2 linked regions of the Ovis aries genome follow. The protein of the gene in region 1 purifies or fractionates together with the protein of each later gene. This does not show direct contact. Links are inferred from orthologs where the notes say so. Each region holds a gene or a part of one and is shown on either strand. Other genes may lie near its edges.

Region 1 (4,959 bases):
TAAGAATAGCAGGTGTTCTACTAGACGTGTGAGAGACAGAAATTTAGTTCATAATACAGGACCTAATAAAAGGATGGTATGGCTACAATGCTATTTGACAATCTTCAATAAATGCAGAAACTGGGTTTTATGCAATCTCACTCCCCCTGCCCAATGACCTCTAAATCTTACAAGTAAAATTACTTCCAAGGGATATGTTTTAGTCAAGCAAATTACGAACAGAGAAAGCATAAGAACCTAAAAAATCATACCCTGAATTTGGAACTGTGGTAGCTTCTGACAGCATCAGGGTGTAATGGGCCCACCTACTTTCCCCATTTTTGCCCCTCTCCCTATCCACCCAGACTTACTCTATTCTTGGTACGTTCCAATTGGTCACGTTGCTCCCCCAGCTCTTCTATGATTTCTGAGCCAATCTGGTCAGTCTCTGCGGCAATACGATGAGAACGCTCAATACTCTGGGTGGCCCGGTTCAGGCTGTCAGTGCCTTGCAGAAGCAATGCCCTTTGAGACTGTAGCCGATTCTGACAGGAGTATGGAAGGGAATTGTTAGACTTCTTCCATTATAAATGAATTTATAAGAAGGGATATAATGTGTAGTAATTTTCATTACTTGTAAGACAATCAAAGATGCTAATGAATCAGACTACAAGAGAACCTGGGGTTCAATCTAGGATCACAATACCTCCCAGTCCACTGCTTGTTACATGTAAGTGAGGCAAGGAAAGGATTCAATACACCAGAGCATCTTCCTTGTGCTCCTGATGAATCTGAACTGACTCATGTGCTTCCTGGACTAACAACTTCTGAGAGGCAATGGCCCAGATCTGGGATGCAGGAGCTACCTGAAAATGCATACATCCTATCATTTTGATAGGGTAAACCAACTAAACTCTACCGCCTTAGAGATAGTGTAATTCACTGAAAGTTCCCACTGATTGGTACTGAGTGACCACAGAATAAGCTATTCGTGTTTAGCACACACAGAAATCACTTAAAAGTGTGAAAGACTACTCCTCTCTGGAAAAAAGTAGCTACACTCTTGGTAAGCATCCAAAGAATTTCGCCTCAGGCCAAACACAGAAGACAAATACTGAAGTTGTTACACTGGTGATTTACTCTCAGGGGAGGTAGTATCTGGGGCCAAGTAAGCGCCCTATTTCTGAAACTCCACCAAAGTATTATTCCACCTATTCCTAAGCACAGGAGGCATGAGGACCGAAGCAGCCTTTGTCAGGCCAGAAATAACTACTGACAGAAATGGAGGCAGCTCTAAGTCCTCAGCTCTTCAGAGCACACGTGCGTACAAACTCTGGAAAAGGGGTCAGCTCACAAGGCCTGTTACTGAGCAGGTGACCATTAGCACTCGATACCACCAGTAAGAAGCTGAAAAGATGTGTTTCCAGATCAGAAGCAACAAGAAGGCTTTTTCACTTCATATACAGCATACAGACGAGTGAGTGAGGAAACCACTGAATAAGGCTGAAATGAACCCCAGTTTACACTGGCTTAAAAGCAGCAGGAAAACAGCATTTTTAAACATAAAAGATGAGGATTTTCAACTGAGTGGGCTTAAGAAAGAGCAGGGAGAGACAGTAAGGTCACATGAATCAACCCCAGATTTGGAACAGTAATTCTACTGAAAGTACTTTATATACCTATATTGTTTTTATAATTTCTGAAACTAATAATTTTAAAGCAAAATTATTGCTTGGAATTATCTTCCCCCCTTTTGTTTTTGGGGCTTTTTGGGTCACAGATGACCAAAGTCACTGTACACCTTTCATCTCACTTTTAACAAGCGCTACTTGCCTGCATTTTCCCACTCTCCTTTGAAAATTTTACATCATTCTCAAGTACTCTAGTTTTCACATCAGGAATGTCAGGCCACTATCATTTGAATATCTCTTAAGCCATATTTAGGAGGGTGCTTCATGAAACAGGATTTGTTTAATCAGCCTTTCTACATCCATACAGTCTGCACTAGTGGGCCCCCTTCCACTTCTCTCCCACATTACCAGCCAGGCCATTTCTACTTCGTGCTGTGGAATATAGTCCCAAATGTAACACATGAAATTTAACCTTTGTGAAGCTTTTCTCCTTTACCTACCTAGCTTCTTTAGACAGTTTGAGAATATACATTTTCAATTTAGTAGTCTAATTTTATAAATGAGAACACTGGAGGCTAGAGAGGCAGCCTGGCTCACTTTCTATTATGATGAAGTAAGGCGTCAGCCCCCTTTTTGGGAAGCATCCTGCTTTCTCTACTGTATCTGGGCTATTGGGCCATCTTGATACAAATAACAATGCTCTGATAAGTTAAAATCTTAACTGAACTCTGGGGGGATATGTGAGAAAGAAACTGGATTGGTGAATCAGACTAGAGTCCAGGTATAATATGAATAGGTAACACTTGTTTATCACCACTACCCATCAAGCACTGTTTTATACATAAAGGATACAAAAAAATCTAAACAGGTAAATTGCTTGGAATGATCTGCATTAAATTCAGTAGAAGCAGGCACCCAAGGGGAGAAGGGAAATTGGATGCAAGAAAGAAGAGGGAAAAAACCAGGCGTACTTGTGGAGTATTTGAACTGTACTCCACAATTTGGTTAATCATTGTGCCACAGACCCACAGGACAAAGATGGCTAAAACTCACCATATGCTCGTTCTCCACAGCGTATGTGCCATATTTCATGTCTCCTCGGGCCCCAGGAGTGGCTGTCAAAGGCGTACTTCTCACTTCCCGATGGAGTTTGGCAAGGTCCTTCCGGTAGGTTCGCAGCTTAGACATCATAGGGTTACGAAAAGATAGGGGTGCATAACGCAGTTCCTCTTCCATCTCTGCCAGCTAGGAAGGCAGAAAGCAGTGAGTAGACGGCCTGCTTCTATTCTCTCTCATATGGGTAATATGTCTAGTTTGGACTAATCAAACCACAAGCAATCCTAAATAAATACTCAACATGTGGCCCAGGAAGGGAAGGACCACACGTGACACCTTTACTTCATTACTGAGTGCTTGGTGCAGTGCCCAGCAGGCACAGAACAGGTCTTCAAAAGGTATGTGATGAATGAGTGAGAAAACTAACAAGTAGCTTATAGCTACTTATAGCTTATTAAACATTTTGACATGTATTCTCTCACAACAGATCAAAACGGTAGGAAATACTTTTACTTCATATATGAGACTTGAAGAAACCTGTTCAAGATTACATAAATCAGGATTCCAGATCTTCATACTCTTTTCAGTATACCAAGTTCTTAGCCTGTTATGGTCCAAGTGCTATCACGAAGCACTTAGGGACCTACTGTACTAAAAATGATTAGGGGTATGGCATCAAGGTTCTTCCCTTCCTCCACCTGAAAATCAACTGTCTGTGTCCATGTGAGAATAACCAGGGGTCCAGATCATTTCCATTTTTCTGGGACAAGTAAATTGTAACACATAGAATCATTTGTAAGAGCCCATGAGTCATTTTCTTCTGCTTTGGATGGCTAGAGTAGGACTGGTTAACTTTAGAAAATGCTACCAAGATGTTAACTGAAAAAGAGGCCTAGCTCTGTAACAGATATCACAGATATATGCCCAGTAATGCAGAGGTATTAGAAAAGTTTCTGGTACTCCCATTATGAAGGTGATAGTTTCCATAGTCTGGTAGGCTGATCCTCCTTCAAATACATGCAGAGCGGAAAAAAAAGGATGCAGATGGGCTTAACTTCTCAAAACTTCATTGGAATAAAGGAGGTATTCTTCAACAAACAATAAAGTTCTCTGGCTTAAAAAGAATTCTTCAGTCTACTCTGGGGTAGCAGATACTAGAGGCAACTATTTCTTTGGAGTGCTACCAGAGATCGAGATTTTAGCTCCAGCTTCCTAAAAGGGTTTGCTAAAGCTAGACACAATGCGATGAAGACAGAGGATCCTTACTTCTAAAAGGTAAGAGCAAAAATTGCTTTCTTTCTTTTTTTCTTAAAGAAAAGTCACAGGTTAAATGAAGCAGTTCTTAAACTGCTTAGCAACCTGGACCAACTTCTGATAAGCTTAGGATCCTGACTGAGAACTCATCCTGACCATGCATACCTTGCCCAAGGTACCAAAACCTATTTTTCAAAACAAGGCAATGTGAGTAGGAACCACCTCTGAGCTCCATTTTCTGTGACAGTAAATTTAACAAAGGAGAGTAAGTTATCTTAATGGCCAGCTTTTAAAAAGTGCTTTCAAAAGGCCACCTAGGTAAAAGGAGAATGTCCTTATTGTATCAGCAATGTTTTATCAAGGACTCACAGAGGAATCTTCAAGTTTTACTCAAATACCCATCCCCATCAACTGGCCTCATTTAGTAAGAAATAATCAAAACTAAGGTCAATAGACAGGAACAGTTAAATCTGTGATCATAATGTCATAAGCATTACTTCTGGCAAAGACCAACAGACAGGAAGAGGAAATAGGACTTGTTCCTGTTCTCACCGTTTCATTTGCTTCCTGTTGCTTTTCATCGAAATCTCTGATCAACTTCTTCTTCTCTTCTGGAAAAGACAGATGAGTTTTAAATACTCAATCCTGCTTCCAAACATTTATTTGTAGAGAACATACCCTCTGCTTAGAATATATTCCCCATTTCCTTTCTGGGGGTACCCTACAGAACTTAATCACCCCTGAAAGACATTTAGAAAAGTAAGAGAACTAGTTACCAGAATTAATGGGGGGGGGGGGTAGATGGATGGTATTATCACTGGCATTTAAGTGGCCAGGGAACAAGAATACCTAAACTAGGGACAGTCCTGTGTAACAATGATCTGGCCCCAAAGACCAACAGCATTCCTACTAAGAAAGAAAACAGGTCTAATTATCGTCAATCTTTTTTCACCAACCTAACAAAGGGACCAGGCACGCTTTGATCAATAAGAATGTTTAACAATACCAGTTCTCTGAAGTCTTCATCCCCATGGTAAAT
Region 2 (4,959 bases), on another chromosome or scaffold:
GCTGGGTGACCGAAAGTAATTCTATCTCAGTTGCTAGTAAAAAGGTAAATCTTGTATATACATAAAAAGACAATATTACAAGACTGTAGTGTTAGCCTACCGAAATAAGAATATCTAGAATGGAATTTTAAGTAAACACTTGGGATGATGAGCAATCAGAATACAAGAGAAAAGAAAATCCACATAAATTAATTCTTAATTTGAGAAATCAATAAAATGTATACACAAATTGATAAATACTGTCTCCATAGGTCACTAATTCCAAGGACTAGTTAGTAGTTAGTTTCTAACTAAATTATTACAAGACATTCTGGTGTATTCTCTCTTCTTATGATCAGTTTGTTCTGGCAAGACTCCAACAAGCACTTGCCCTTGAAAACAGCTCAGCGGGAGAAGGCTGGAGGCAATCACTTCATTTATTAACTAGCCACAAAATAAATCCCAAGATTACAATAATCACTGACAGGACAAGCACCAGGATACAGATCTTCTTGCGAGATTTTTTCTGAGGAGAGAAATATGTAAAGAAGACACTCATGAAACAAGTAAAAAATGTTTATAAAACTCCAGGAGTGCTTCATCAGTCGGGCTCCTGGTAATGCAAAATTAAACTGTGTATGACTATGCAGACACCTTCTCAAAAATCTCAAGGTACCAGTGCTAGACAGCAGTGCAAGTCCTCATTCAATGCTCCCAAATACAGTTTTGCAAAGGAACTGTTTATGTTGCAAGGTGTTATTTGCCATAAAATAAGTTATTTGTACATGTATATTTGAATAAAGGTTTTATACCTATTATAAAATTTTATGTTCACTGTAAAAAATACAGACAAGCAGAAGAGAAAATAATCACCCACAGATAAGACAGCTGACATTTTAATTGTATTTTCTTCTGATCTTTTATCCAGGCAGATTTATCTGACAAAATTGGAACCATACTGTATCATGTCTGATGGTTTTCTCACTCAATATTTTAGAATAAAATTTGTGATATTATAAACTCTTCATAAACATCTTTTAATTCCCACATAAAATAACATGAAGTGGATGTAGATAATTTACTTGACTGTTCTTTACTGTTGGATATTAAAGTCATCACTCACTTTTTAAAAGGAAACTACTGTTAAATACAATTTCTTTAAGAACAGTCCCAGGGGAAGTACAATTATCTTAGGAACATGGTAAATGACTAAATGCTATTTGTTTCTAAAAACCCATGCAATACCAGGTTGAGGAGAAATGAGAAGGACCTCATTCACAACATGTGTAAACTGAGGTGAAGACCCGGATAAAGTTCGTAAAATCAGAGTTTCAAATAATATGTAGAAAAATACCACTTTACAGAAAGTAGAACAATTAACCCCTATTTGTTCACAGCAAAATAACCCTCATATGATAAGCCAACTAATTCATACATAAACAGCAGTCCAAGTTGAGCCTCTGTCCATTTTCTGTGGCAACAGTCAACATAAATTATCTGCAAAGTCCTACTTTGTACCTATTACTATCCTAACTGAAACAAATTTCATCTGTTTAGGTTAGAAAATTAGCCTTACCCCAAATTAGGTATCATGCTAGCTTATCGGGATAGCTTTGTAGCTAAGAGGCTTTTATGTCAGTTTATTCAAAGTTTGATGCCTTTTTTGTAGATCTCTCTGCAAAGGAAAATACTAAAAATGGGGCTGGGATGGCAATTACGACTGCCTGCCTCCAGCTTAAGACCAAACAGACGGCTGCAGCTGTTCTCCATGTGTCAGTGACTCTCATGGCCCCTAGAGTCTACAGCAGAGTGACTTTCTTTTGTACCTGCTTTTACCTGATAGTAAGCAGCTCGCTGTAGCTGGTCAGTGGCTCTTTCTACATGCACCTCTGAGCTTTCCACGTTGGCTTCTATGCTGTCTGCAAAAGAGAAGGGCAGAGGATGTTTTACCACAGTCGGATGTTTCAAGACTGCAAACTGAAGAGCATTCTGATGCTAAGGGTCCTGTTCACCATCATCACTCCAACTATCCAGCCATGAGATCAAAAGTTACCAACCCCATAAGAGAACAGCCCTCTTCTTTGGAAATAAACACCAAAGAATTATTTAGAGGTAGAGGGTTATGAAGTATGTAAATCATCCACAACAGTTCAGAAAAAAATCAGGTAAATAAAAACAGTGCAAATAAAAAGCAAATGGGGTAGAATGTTAACAAGAAGTAAATCTAAGTAAAGCTTATAAAGGAGTTCCTTGTTATTTTCATTTTTGCAACTTTTTGTGAACTTGAAATTATTTCCAAATAAAAAGTTTTTTTAAAAAAGGGTTTCAAATCCCATAGTTGTGCAAGTTTCTGGAGATAAAAACTGAGAAGCTGACAGCAATTTCCCTAAACAGCCAAAGACTTAACATGAGGCTACGGCAAGTGAATGGGCTATTCATGGAAGCCTCAGTTTAATTTCCACATTTGACAAGGTAAGAAAATTGCTAAGAAAATGAATTTAGTGATTTTTAAATGGTATTCCTAGATTCCTAAGACACAGCTTACCGACTTCTTTGCATACAAAAACTATCCACTCACCTTTATGTTAAAGGTATCAATAATACATACCAATGATATCACCTTGGTCATGGATCATCATGGCCAAATCTTTAAATATCTGATTGACATCCAAAATATCAGCCTAAGGAACATACACACAAAAAAATTAACCAATATTAAGTAACATGTTGGAAGATTCATTTCCTCTACTTACCTAAAGTTCTGGCTATTAACATAACACATGTGTTTTTAAAGCTTATAAATCATGCTTTCTCTATAAACAGAAAATGAAAATAAAGTTAATTATTAACACTTACTAAGTGACTTCTGTATGCAGAGTACTATGCTGGTAGGTAATTAGAAGCACAGTCTCTTGGAGCCTATCAGTTACAGAGGACTGTTAACCCTTCACAGTCTTGTTCAACCTTAAATTGAGAACTTCTTTGGACCTCCCTACTAAAATGTGGACAATGACAGTACCCATCTCATAGCATTTTCAGAAGTACTAGATAAAAAGTTCTTCAGTTCAGTTCATTTCAGTTCAGTTGCTCAGTCGTGTCTGACTCTTTGCGACCCCATGAATCGCAGCACACCAGGCCTCCCTGTCCATCACCAACTCCCGGAGTTCACTCAGACTCACGTCCATTGAGTCTGTGATGCCATCTAGCCATCTCATCCTCTGTCGTCCCCTTCTCCCCCTGCCCCCAATCCCTCCCAGCATCAGAGTCTTTTCCAATGAGTCAACTCTTCTCATGAGGTGGCCAAAGTACTGGAGCTTCAGCTTTAGCATCATTCCTTCCAAAGAAATCCCAGGGCTGATCTCCTTCAGAATGGACTGGTTGGATCTCCTTGCAGTCCAAGGGACTCTCAAGAGTCTTCTCCAACACCACAGTTCAAAAGCATCAATTCTTCGGTGCTCAGCCTTCTTCACAGTCCAACTCACATCCATACATGACTACTGGAAAAAACACAGTCTTGACTAGATGGACCTTAGTTGGTAAAGTAATGTCTCTGCTTTTGAATATGCTGTCTAGGTTGGTCATAACTTTTCTTCCAAGGAGTAAGCGTCTTTTAATTTCATGGCTGCAGTCACCATCTGCAGTGATTTTGGAGCCCCCCAAAATAAAGTCTGACACTATTTCCACTGTTTCCCTATCTATTTCCCATGAAGTGATGGGACCGGATGCCATGATCTTCATTTTCTGAATGTTGAGCTTTAAGCCAACTTTTTCACTCTCCTCTTTCACTTTCATCAAGAGGCTTTTTAGTTTCTCTTCACTTTCTGCTGTAAGGGTGATGTCATCTGCATATCTGAGGTTATTGATATTTCTCCCGGCAATCTTGATTCCAGTTTGTGCTTCTTCCAGCCCAGCGTTTCTCATGATGTACTCTGCATAGTAGTTAAATAAGCGGGGTGACAATATACAGCCTTGACGTACTCCTTTTCCTATTTGGAACCAGTCTGTTGTTCCATGTCCAGTCCTAACTGTTGCTTCCTGACCTGCATATAGGTTTCTCAAGATGCCGGTCAGGTGGTCTGGTATTCCCATCTCTTTCAGAATTTTCCAGTTTATTGTGATCCACACAGTCAAAGGCTTTGGCATAGTCAATAAAACAGCTGCTGCTGCTGCTGCTGCTGCTAAGTCGCTTCAGTCGTGTCCAACTCTGTGCGACCCCATAGACAGCAACCCACCAGGCTCCCCTGTCCCTGGGATTCTCCAGGCAAGAACACTGGAGTAGGTTGCCATTTCCTTCTCCAATGCATGAAAGTGAAAAGTGAAAGTGAAAAGTGAAAGTGAAAAGTGAAAATGAAGTCGCTCAGTCGTGTCTGACTCTTAGTGACCCCATGGACTGCAGCCTACCAGGCTCCTCCGTCCATGGGATTTTCCAGACAAGAGTACTGGAGTGGGGTACCACTGCCTTCTCCACAATAAAGCAGAAATAGATGTTTTTCTGGAACTCTCTTGCTTTTTCAATGATCCAGCAGATGTTGGCAATTTGATCTCTGGTTCCTCTGCCTTTTTTAAAACCAGCTTGAACATCAGGAAGTTCACGGTTCACGTATTGCTGAAGCCTGGCTTGGAGAGTTTTGAGCATTACTTTATTAGAATGTGAGATGAGTGCAATTGTGCGGTGGTTTGAGCATTCTTTGGCATTGCCTTTCTTTGGGATTGGAATGAAAACTGACCTTTTCCAGTCCTGTGGCCACTGCTGAGTTTTCCAAATTTGCTGACATTATTGAGTGCAGCACTTAAAAGAAAGGGTATTATATGGTAAATGACTAATAAGTGGTATAGCATTTACCTCAAGCAGAGAAGGAAGACTATGGCAGAAGAGGCAGGACTTAAGAAGCCATATACATAGAACAAACAGCCCAGTTTGGCTATAACGTGGATGTGATATTATGATTCATAATAAGAAATATGTATTTGATCTTTGTC

Evidence for each region. The genes of interacting proteins can lie anywhere in the genome.
Region 2: the proteins of VTI1B (region 1) and STX12 purify together in Homo sapiens (affinity purification with mass spectrometry; 3 studies listed by BioGRID and IntAct, counting the BioPlex papers as one, with this or other methods). This does not show direct contact. The link is inferred for Ovis aries from reciprocal best matches to the Homo sapiens genes VTI1B and STX12.

Annotation. Positions count from the first base shown.
Region 1 is NC_056060.1:77,604,997-77,609,955, forward strand, and holds part of VTI1B (vesicle transport through interaction with t-SNAREs homolog 1B), read right to left. Parts: intron 4,532-4,959; coding exon 4,473-4,531; intron 2,856-4,472; coding exon 2,664-2,855; intron 525-2,663; coding exon 351-524; intron 1-350. UniProt on the Homo sapiens protein: V-SNARE that mediates vesicle transport pathways through interactions with t-SNAREs on the target membrane. These interactions are proposed to mediate aspects of the specificity of vesicle trafficking and to promote fusion of the lipid bilayers.
Region 2 is NC_056055.1:239,286,321-239,291,279, forward strand, and holds part of STX12 (syntaxin-12), read right to left. Parts: intron 2,661-4,959; coding exon 2,588-2,660; intron 1,899-2,587; coding exon 1,816-1,898; intron 506-1,815; coding exon 413-505; 3' UTR 1-412. UniProt on the Homo sapiens protein: SNARE promoting fusion of transport vesicles with target membranes. Together with SNARE STX6, promotes movement of vesicles from endosomes to the cell membrane, and may therefore function in the endocytic recycling pathway.